Linked DNA regions of Yarrowia lipolytica. The protein of the gene in region 2 interacts with the protein of the main gene of each other region in a biochemical or structural test. Links are inferred from orthologs where the notes say so. Each region holds a gene or a part of one and is shown on either strand. Other genes may lie near its edges.

Evidence for each region.
Region 1: the proteins of YALI1_D04533g (region 2) and YALI1_F04895g form a complex in vitro, tested with the Saccharomyces cerevisiae proteins (2 studies listed by BioGRID). The link is inferred for Yarrowia lipolytica from reciprocal best matches to the Saccharomyces cerevisiae genes VPS74 and SEC21.

The regions. Positions count from the first base shown.
Region 1 is NC_090775.1:486,237-492,469, reverse strand, and holds YALI1_F04895g (uncharacterized protein), read left to right. Parts: upstream 1-2,240; coding exon 2,241-2,847; intron 2,848-2,893; coding exon 2,894-5,013; downstream 5,014-6,233. Other genes in the region: YALI1_F04920g (uncharacterized protein), read left to right, coding at 375-950; YALI1_F04860g (uncharacterized protein), read right to left, coding at 6,111-6,233. UniProt on the Saccharomyces cerevisiae protein: The coatomer is a cytosolic protein complex that binds to dilysine motifs and reversibly associates with Golgi non-clathrin-coated vesicles, which further mediate biosynthetic protein transport from the ER, via the Golgi up to the trans Golgi network.
Region 2 is NC_090773.1:451,141-455,725, reverse strand, and holds YALI1_D04533g (uncharacterized protein), read left to right. Parts: upstream 1-2,361; coding exon 2,362-3,636; downstream 3,637-4,585. Other genes in the region: YALI1_D04556g (uncharacterized protein), read left to right, coding at 93-722; YALI1_D04512g (uncharacterized protein), read left to right, coding at 4,041-4,403, 4,455-4,585.

The DNA of each region.
Region 1 (6,233 bases), on a different chromosome or scaffold from region 2:
CCCGGCCTTCTGAATCCCATTACCCTTTCAGCCCAGACCACTATCAGGGAATCCAGCTGGACGAGAATGGCCGAGTTGTGGGAACAAGCCTGTCATTAACAACTCCTCCAACTCCCTCTGGCCCAAGCTACCAGGGCGATTTCCAAAAATACTCACATCAGGAGACTCCTGCGCATCTCCCCTTTGAGCCACAGTCGTCTTCGCTGACCCGGCCCTATCAGTCCCGACACTCGAGTCTGGGCCTTGGACAGCCTGTCAGCTATCTACAGAGTCTTTCCTCGGCTCAATCTCAGAGTCGCAAACGTCACTCTCTACCCGCTCCCTCTGTCGCCCCCCTGCCTGAGGATGGAGGCCCCATTCCGGACGGAAAAGTAATGGACGACCCACACGCCATTGACGCTCACGATCTTTTCTGGGCCAAGACAATCACACCCGAGTTCCACAGTGTCGTCGAGCGGAAACGAAAGGAGAACAAGATCGACAGCTACAATCCCTTTGCAACATTCAACCAGTGGAACGCTTGTGCTGTTTACGAGCGCAAAAACAAGCACACTCTGCCACAGTACAAGGTGCGCAAGCTGGCGGACGGCACTCGCGGCATTTTGAAGTACGCCGTTGAGAGCAAGGTCCCTGAGCACCTGCGGTGTCTTCCCTCTTCGGAGTTGCTGAACTCGTGCTATGATTGTGGACAGAGAGGGGAACATGCTGCGACCTGCGAGTTCCATCGCGAGGTTGGCGATGAGAGTTATGTTCCCGTCAGTGGCGATCCTGAGAATCGGAAGCGGAGGTGCGTGGGAGGTGGGGGCAGCAACACTTTTGCTGCAGATTACAACTACAAAGACCCATCTGAGAACAAGGAGGACCACTTTGTGACCAAAGCCTGGGACACAGTCAAGTGGAATGTGGTGAAGCGGCCGATTATGGCGATGCGGGCGAGAAGAAGGCGATAGAACTAGGAGGGTGGGGGGAAGACCGAACTATGATCGAGAGAGCGATCAATTTCAGCCCATAGAACTATCCGTAGCGACTGCGGCAACTACGCGTCATGATGAGTGATACGGGGTGGGGTCGTTAATGTTTTGCTGCAGTTGAGCTCTGTGCTGAATGTGATGGTATTCAGTGAAGTATCTTCATAATTAATGGGGTATATATAAAGTGTGTGTTTTAGGGGCGGTTTCAGTGGTATATACCTGTTTCTATCAGAAGCAGTCTTTGCTTGTTGATGGTAAATATGGATAGTTAAAATAAAAAATAAAAAAACAATAGAGACTTGTTGGTTGTGTCTACCTTATGTTTTTTTTCGCCGTAGTCTCAGAACTGTCTCAGAACTGAGTCTGTACAACAGTTGGATCAGGTGGGTGAAAAGATGGTCGATTGACTGGATGTTGGTGATTGGTGATGATCACGTCTTTGAGACTCTACTGTGAAATTTACAGCTCATTTTGATCAAAACTGGTTGGTTTTGCATCACATGAGTGCGCAGGAGTTTTGATAGTTGCAGGAGAGGAGGTGAATGGGGAGAGGTTGGAGAATGTGGTTGATTTTTCCGAGAGTCTCAGAAATTTGGCGGCATGTTTAGATCGTTGAGATTTTTGTGATTTTTCCAATTTTTTCCCTTTTTTTTTTCTGATTTTTCCTCATTTTCTCCATTTTTCCCCATTTTTTCCGATTATACACCCATGAACGTCCTGTTCCACATCTCCAATATTTCACCACCGGGTCTCGAAACTTTATTTACGCCGTACAATAAATTAGGGTGTTTTGGCGCGATGGAGGATCGGTTTAAATGGTAATTCTGGGGAGATAGAAATCCGCAAAATTATTACTTTCAAAGACAATGTTGTGTTATATTTAATGTAATTTTTCCCACATTTTTCCCCATTTTTTTCACTTTTTCAGGGTCTATTTCAACTTCTACCTGTATAACCGTATAACCGCACGTCGGATGTACTGTACTTGTACATAGAGCCAGATCAGAGGGCTCAGAAAAGGCGCTCGCTGGGTGTAAAAAGCAGAAAAAAATGGGTTAAACACATATTATAGCGATTTCATATTTCTTTTCCTTGCCCAATTTATTTTGCCGTCCAAAAAAGTGCCCTTTTTCGACCCACAGCTCCGGCACCACTCCTCCCATCCATTCCACCTATCCTACCCTAACCCTAACGAAAGAAACACGTCAGATACAGTTGTTACACCGACACACAGCACACATACATTGTCATCCTACACCACTCCCCACAATGTCAGCGCTCAGCTACAAGAAAAACGACGACATTGAGTCGGGCGCGCTGGACAAGATGACCGTGTACCAGGAGTGTCAGCGGGCGTTTGCCGAGTCGCCCATCAACGCGCGAAAGTGCCGAAAGCTGCTGGCCAAGCTGATCCACCTGCTCACCATCGGCGAGACCTTCAGTGAGTTTGAGGCCACGGGTCTGTTCATCGCCGTGTCCAAGCTGTTCCCCCATAAGGACCCGTCGCTGCGGCAGATTGTGTATCTGGCCATCAAGGAGCTGGTGCCTCTGTCCAACAACGACGTGATTATGGTCACCTCGTCCATCACCCGAGACGTGCAGGGCTCGTCGGACCTGATCTACAAACCCAATGCCATCCGAGCACTGGCGCGGGTCATTGACGGCTCGTTTGTGCAGGGCATTGAGCGGCTGATGAAAACGGCCATTGTCGACCGTCACACCTCCGTGTCGTCGGCCGCCCTCGTGTCGGCCTACCACCTGCTCCCCATCGCCAAGGACACCATTCGCCGATGGGCCGCCGAGGTCCAGGAGGCGGTCACGTCGCAGAAGAACTTCCCGGCGGGTGACCCCTGCCCAACTACGCCCCGGCCCCGCCGTGCTGGCCCCCTACCACGCCCTGTCGCTGCTGTACGAGCTGCGAGCACACGACCGAATGGCCCTCATCAAGCTCATCCAGCAGTTCTCCGGCGCCTCGGCCCACCTGCAGTCGCCCAACGCCAATGTCATGCTCATCCGATTCATCGCCAAGGCTGCCAACGACGGTGCCCACCGGCAACAGCTCGTGGCCCTCCTGGAACGATATCTCGGCCACAAATCCGACATGGTCGCCCTCGAGGCCGCCAAGGCCGTGCTCACCCTCCGAGACGTGAGCCCTAAGGAGGCCGCCTCCGCCATTGAGTCGCTGCGGGCCTTCCTGGCGTCTCCTCGAACCATTGCCCGGTTTGCAGCCATCCGAATCCTCAACCGGTTCGCGATGACCAACCCCGGCGCCGTGGCCGTGTGCAACGCGGAGATCCAGCCCTTGATCACCGACTCTAACCGGTCCATCGCCACCTACGCCATCACGGCGCTGCTCAAGACCGGCAATGAGGCCTCCGTCGACAAGCTGGTCACCCAGATCAGCGGGTTCATGTCCGACATCACCGACGAATTCCGAATTGTGGTCATCGATGCTGTCCGGTCGCTAGCGCTTAAGTTCCACGCTAAAAAGTCTACCATGCTGCAGTTCTTTGGCAACACCCTTCGGAACGATGGTGGCAGTGCCCAATACAAGGCTGCCGTGGTTGCCGCGCTGTTTGACATGATCCGGTACGTGCCCGACTGCAGAGACACCGCCCTCGGCATTCTGTGCGAGTTCATCGAGGACTGCGAGTACACCGAGATTGTTGTTTCCGTCTTGCATACTCTCGGACAGGAGGGCCCTGCCGCCGCCAACCCCACAGTGTACATTCGGTACATCTACAACCGAATCGTGCTTGAAAACGCTTTCATTCGAGCAGCTGCTGTCTCTGCACTGGCCAAGTTCGCGCTGGTGGATGACACCTCTGTCAAGAAGTCCGTCAAGGTGCTGCTGGAGCGATCTCTGGAGGATGAGACCGACGAGGTGCGAGACCGAGCTGTCATTGCGCTCAAGCTGCTCGAGTCTGGTGACCAGGCCCAGGCCAAGGCATACATTTCGCCCGAGTCGCGATTCTCTCTCCCCATTCTGGAGCACAAGCTGGCTCTGTATGTGACTGGGTCCGGTGCCGACTTTGACACGCCCTTTGACATGTCCTCTGTGCCTCTCATCACCGACCAGGAGGCCCGAGAGGCTGCTCTCAAGGCACACAGAGAGACCACCGAGGCCACCCCTGTGGTCAACGGCGGAGCTGGAGGACCCACCCCTGCTTCTGCGGCTGCTGCCACCACCGCCAACCTGGCGTCCAAGAGCAATTCTCACGAGGCCGCTATCCAGCGTGCCGAGAAGTACGCTGCCGAGCTGGCCGCTATTCCCGATCTGGCAGCCTTTGGCACTCCTCTCAAGTCTTCTCTTGCGGTGGCTCTCACCGAGTCCGAGACTGAGTTTGTCGTGACTGCCATCAAACACATTTTCCCCAGCCACGTGGTGCTGCAGTACGACGTGCACAACACGCTTCCCGACGCACAGCTCAGCAACGTGTCAGTGGTGGCGTCTATTGAGGACGACAGCGAGGAGCTGGTGGAGGAGTTCATTCTTCCTGTGGACGAGCTTGGTCCCGATTCTCACGGCACCGTCTACGTGGCCCTCGAGAAGACCGAGGACCATCTTGCTGTTGCATCGTTTGAGAACATTCTCAAGTTCACTCTCCATGACATCAACAAGACCACCGGCGAGGTGTCTGAGGACGGCGACGAGGACGAGTACCAGATTGAGAACCTGGTGCTGGGTGCTGGCGACTACCTCGAGGGTGGCTTCATCGGCTCGTTTGACCACCTGTGGGACGAGCTGGCCAACACCGAGGCGGTTGACACTGCCACTCTGTCCGAATACAAGGGTCTGGAGGAAGCTGTCCAGTTTCTCATTTCACAGCTGTCTCTCACTCCTCTGGAGTCGTCTGATGAGGTCACCTCGGCTTCCACACATACTCTGAAGCTGTTTGGAAAGACTCTGACTGGCGAGAAGGTGATTGTGCAGATCAAGATGGCCGCCTCGCAGCGAACAGGAGTTGTGGTGCAGTGCAAGGCTAGATCGGGTGATGAGGAAGTGGCCGAGTTGGTTGCTGGATTTGTGGGCTCGTTGTAAGTGCGTCTTTGTTAATGAGCGAACAGGCCAGATAAGTGGCCTTTGGTTAGTAAGATATATAGTGAAGGATTATTGCAAGTTTGGTGTAGTAGGTGTGATTGGGCTCTGTGGATGATGATGGCTAGAACGTCCACGTGAAGGGCTGAGGAGCATGCTTTAGGAGGATGATTCAGCTAGGGAACCTGCTCAAAAGGATGATTCATTGTTTCTATCCAATTCAAGTCCATTTCAACTGATTCTATCACGATTCAAGTTGTTTTTATCACGATTTAATGTGATTCTGTAATGTCACTCTGATAAGACCAATATTCCGCGAATTGGAGTTGTCCGAGTGAGATGCAGTTGAAAACTATTAGAGGCTTCTGGGCATGACTAGAATCCGATACCACCTTAGTAAAGTGTATTCGACATACTCTTAATCTGTAGTCTCAGGAAGCGAGAACAGTTCAAACTGACTTCAGCTTGTGACACCAATTAACCACATCCACACACAAACACCACGCCGAATTGGAGACAGAACATGATTGCGTCCGCCGCTTTGTTGTGTTTGTGTTGTTGGATTTGGGGCGAGTGATGTGAAGGAAGAAGAGTCGAAAAGCGCGAGGTGGGTGTTAAAGTAGAGTCGCCATAGTGTGGTAATGATGACTGGTCATATATGCATGTTTCCAAGTAAAGTTAAGTAAAAAGGGAGGACATTTTTTTTGCTATTATGGCTACGGAATGGAATTTTTGTATGACAAGAATGATAATTTATTACATGTTTTCATAGTCCTCGTTTCCAGCTACATTTCTATACAACTTTTACTTCTTCACCACCTCTGCAACATTGGATTTGAACCCCCAGTAACTTTTTCCTTTAACAAATTCCCAACTATAACTAATCCAACTAGCCTCGTTAATTGTATGCTTCCATCTCGCTCAATAATACTCGGATTGCCACCACGAGAGTTGCTTTCGCTTCGGAATCGTCCGCTCTCTAAAATGGGCCCTTCTCCGATGTCTGCACATTTTCCCGGGACTATGTGCGCCGTATCGTTTGCTCTCGCGCTCGCATCCGTCGTTTCCCAGCAACGATAAGCCCGATATTAAAAACAGACCTAATCTGATGCGCATAAAATAGACTCTGGGGATCCTGTGACTGGAGTGTCCGGATCAGACGGCAGGAAGATACGTCTTTGGAGATTGCGGAGAGACGTCCAAGTCATGTGACACGCGGAGGG
Region 2 (4,585 bases):
TGCACCATGCATGCCCCGCTTATCGATTGCTCCCACCACACCACAACCAACGCTCTCGAGTGGAGATAAACGGAAAAACACCCTAGTTCACAATGTTTCGTCACGCGATCAGATCAATTGGCCTCGTGACTCCTGTCAGAGTCATTACCCCCACTCTACGTGCTTCTCTGGTTCTCGGGGCAGTTCGTTCTCAGAGTTCGCACGCCAAACCCCAAGCACCCGATTGGATCCAGAATCTGCTCGATGAGCACGAGGGCAAAGGATACTTGCTTGCCGACGCTGGGCTGCCGTCTCAGGGCGTCTCTTGGGGAGAAATTGACTCCTTCCAGCATGTTAACAACAAGGTGTATCTGGCTTGGTTCGAGACCGCCCGTGTTAACATGTTTCTCAAGTGGGGCACGGACTTTCAGCGGTTCATGAGTGGCCAGTCGGTGGCACCGGTCATGCGGTCGGTCAATCTAGCTTGGCGATACCCCATCAAATTCCCCGACCAGGTGACGGTCGTCCACAAAATTGACCAGATTCTCGATGACCGGTTCATTCTCAAGGGCGTCGTGATAGGCCACAAGTCCAAGAAGGTGTGTGCACGAATTGAAGAGGTGATTGTCGCTGTCGATTACACTAAGGGTGCCACCAAGTGTTCTATTCCGGACGATATGAGAGAGTTTCTGGAGCAGAAAAAGAGAGAGCAAGGCGCGGGGGAGTATGATGCGCAGATTTAGCGTAACCCATTCGGAGCAGCCGAAGCCGACGAGAAATGGCAGAAGCCGACGATGAATGGACAATTGTTAGATGGGTGCTGTGTCAGTACATGACTCTGGGGTGCTTCCTTTTGCACAATAGCTAGCTGACAGATGCTGACAAGTGCTATCGAAGCAGGGAACTTGAGTCTCTGAGACAGGCTTCATAGATGGCACCTTTCTCGAGTCATTATAGAATAGATTGTTTTGGAATATTTGAGAAATTGTACAAGTAAGTTGAATCGGATCGCTCAGAGAAGTGTTCTTATAGTCACAGTCTCCTTAGTGATTTGAAGACTATGCAAGTACGAGAACAGTATGTCCAGTAAGCATATATATCTGTACTTGGTGACGGTGCCATCACTGAAATTTTCTAGAAAATGGGTTAATGATACACTCTATTGCAGTACAATACAAGACCGAAAGTGTACCACTGCCTTCTTTTTTTTTTTATTATTCTTCTGGTATCAACTGACACTTCATCTAATGTGGAGACCATAACAGTTTTGCACAAGTTCATGTCCCTTCACGTAGCAGTTTAATACGACATGTGTACTGAAAAGTACATATCCTGATTAAGAATCCGCTGCTAATTCTAATGGTATAATTCAACCTACCCTATGAGTGACAAAAATGTCTTTTTGTGTGCGTTTTTGTTTGCCATGTTCACCAGAACCTGTAGATTAGGCGAATACTCTCAACCGACACTTTTGTATAGAGCATAGGTTTTTTTTGTATCATTCGAATCAGCTTGAAATTCCAAGTCCAATGATGTACCTCTTATCAACACTTGACATACAAAGGTTTTCAGAATTGTGTGTTTTTTTCTACCCCGTCTTTCTCCAGACCCAAGAGAAGCAGAGCTAACCCAAGCCCAGATCAAACGAGCTAACGACAGACCAGTCTAGAATCTCATTGTTCTGTGAATTAGACGCTTGTCTAACCCGTAGACGCACGCTAATGTCGAGAAAAAAGCGTTTTTTGCAGGGATCATTGTCTGGTTTCGTCGTTCTCTCTATAATCTTTATTGACGAAGTCACTGGTTGCTTGGGTCCCTCGTTAGCAGCATTTGAATGACATATGGTGGCAGAAAAAGGTACCAATCAGCTCAGATCTTCCGGCTGATTCGATTAAGACCAAAATATCCACCTCTTTTCATACAATTTCTGCGTGCTTGGTGGACCTACATTCCCATGTTGTCGTCGTCCAACTGCCGCGATTAGGTTACAGCTGATCCTTCATGTCGTCGTCGTGCCCAAACATCAATGTTACAAACTCTGGATGGGGGTTATCGGGCCTTGAGTAGGCGCGAGTGCTTAGGATTGCAGCAGACCTGAGTTGTTGCACACAATTCTCAACAAGTCAGGTGGCAGCGAAACCAGGCAAAACTATATATATTAAAAAATTGGAACAATTGGAAAAAACGGGAAAAACATGGAAATGCGGGTCTTTAAGTATTCTCGTCAAGAAAGACTCAACAACCTCCATCGACAGCCAGTACTGTAGTTCGTCGTGACACAATTTGTACACAGAAATATCCAGTTCACGCACAAATCAGTCAATCAGTAGAAACACGTGACTGTGCAACGAAGTGCATGTTTGGCCATCCACGACAGGCCAAATGACAGAAAATATATGCCCCCGGGTGATTGCTCTTTCCATCAGCAATTACATTTCTCGTACATTAGACCATCCTCCATTCTCCGTATTGCTTACTCATCCATTACCAAGGGGCGTCTTCTCCCAACACCTGTCATCAGCATTATTCACACGTAAGGTATACGCAGCCTTTGAGCTTAGCAGCAGCACGTCCAGCACAACCACAGACTTACTTGTAGTACCAACACAACTACGAGGAGTAGGCACTGCACACACAATTACATCCATGTCAGGCCTGCAACGACGACGTGTCAACAACACGGCTTCGGCCGACGAGACCTGGGGCAGCTCTGAACGACAGACGTCGACCGTGCCAAAGACGGACGAAGACGGTCCCAAAATCGGATACGACCCCAAAGACATACGCACGGCGGAGGAGGAGGAGAAGCAGCCGCGCCTGACGCTCATGGAGGAGGTGCTGCTGATGGGGCTCAAGGACCAGCAAGGGTATCTGTCTTTCTGGAACGACAACATCTCGTACGCGCTGCGGGGCTGCATCATCATGGAGCTGGCTCTACGTGGCAAGGTCCAGATGGTGAACGACACAAACCGCCGACGCTTCCCCATTTCGGACCGGTACATTGAGGTCATCAACGACAAGCTGACAGGCGAGGCGCTGCTGGACGAAACCATCAAAATCATGAAGGCCTCTGAAAAGCTCACCGTCGGCACCTGGATCAATTATCTGTCAGGCGAGACCTGGAACCTGTCCAAGATCAGCTACCAGCTCAAGCAAGTGAGAGAACGGCTTTCCAAGGGCCTGGTCGACAAGGGCATTCTGAGAACCGAGAAACGCAACTTTTTCCTTTTTGATATGCCCACCCACCCCGTCGCAGACACGGGCGCCAAGGAGGACATCAAAAAACGCGTGCTGTCGCTTCTCACCGCACGTACCGTTGTCATCAACCCATCTCCTTATTTGCCCGAGGGCGTGCCCTTCCGATACCTCCGATCTGTCGGAGCAGTATGTGGCGCCTATGCTGCCAACGTGCTTGAAAACGTGCTCGCAGATCTGAGCTACGAGATGCGTGACCAGGCATTTGCACGAGCTGACGATTTGTTGAACGACTTTTCCGAGTGGCCCTTTGTGGAGAAGCCTGGTCAGACCCAGAACGTGGGCGTGAACTTGTTCCAGGAAATCAACGACGAGATTGCAGCCAACCCGAATAAAGAGCTGCAGCTGGAGGTGGTGGCTGGAGTGTTTGACATTTTTGCAAACTTGGACAGCATTTTGTGATGTACGATCGCAGCGACAATGTCAGAAGATGCGAAGGATTGTCGCCTGTAATGATACTAGGCACGTTATAAAGTAAATATGAACGAATGGTCAACGAGTGTACGAGTGGAGCAAGTACATGGGGGATTAATGAGCTCTTGACATCTATGGGAGACAGTCGTAGACTGGTGATTGACTGGTAACCGTTGCGACGCAATTCGACTTTATTGAAAAGGTGAACAAACGAGTGCTTTTCACGATTGAGATGTAGATCTTTATTGGTATTGACTGCATCTGGTTCCTTGTACAGATGCTGAAACGTCGGTAATAGTGGAAGGACATCTTTTTACAAGTGTGTAAGTGCTCTACGGTTTGATTAATGCCTCCATAAAGAACACCAGTGGCTGTAGTCCAATGCTACTGCAATGTTAGACAAATATATTGTTTCCGAGTGGCTGTTTCAATCAGTTGTTGTCTGTTGGATCACTCCACACACCTCCTGGGCCCTTCCCAAGGTGAGATCAGCGGCAAGCTCTTTTTTTTTGGTAATCTCTTCCGTCAGGAACGGAGCTGCTTGGTTTTCCACGATTCGACACAGCGATTTGTTACTTGTCTGGCCCGTCTTTAGCCACCCCAGACCCACAGACGAACAGTCATACGCCCATTTTGGGCCATTGAAAAACATCATGTGGAACCCTGATTCGCTGGAGGAGGTTCGATCCGCTGTTGGTGAACACTATGTCGTCCTCCAGAATCAAGCATCTCTCCTTCCCACCTTTGGCACACAAGTCGAGCGCCTGCTGGTACTGCACTGTACTTTTTAGTGTACTGTACCCCAGCTCGTCAAAGTGGATCTGATTCTCGAGTATTGTCCGGCGACTCCAGCTCTTGAGTGTCGATTCACAAGCGGTCACGTCATCAGCCAGAACAATGCCAGCCGGAATTATCGACAGAACGGTCCCATTATTTG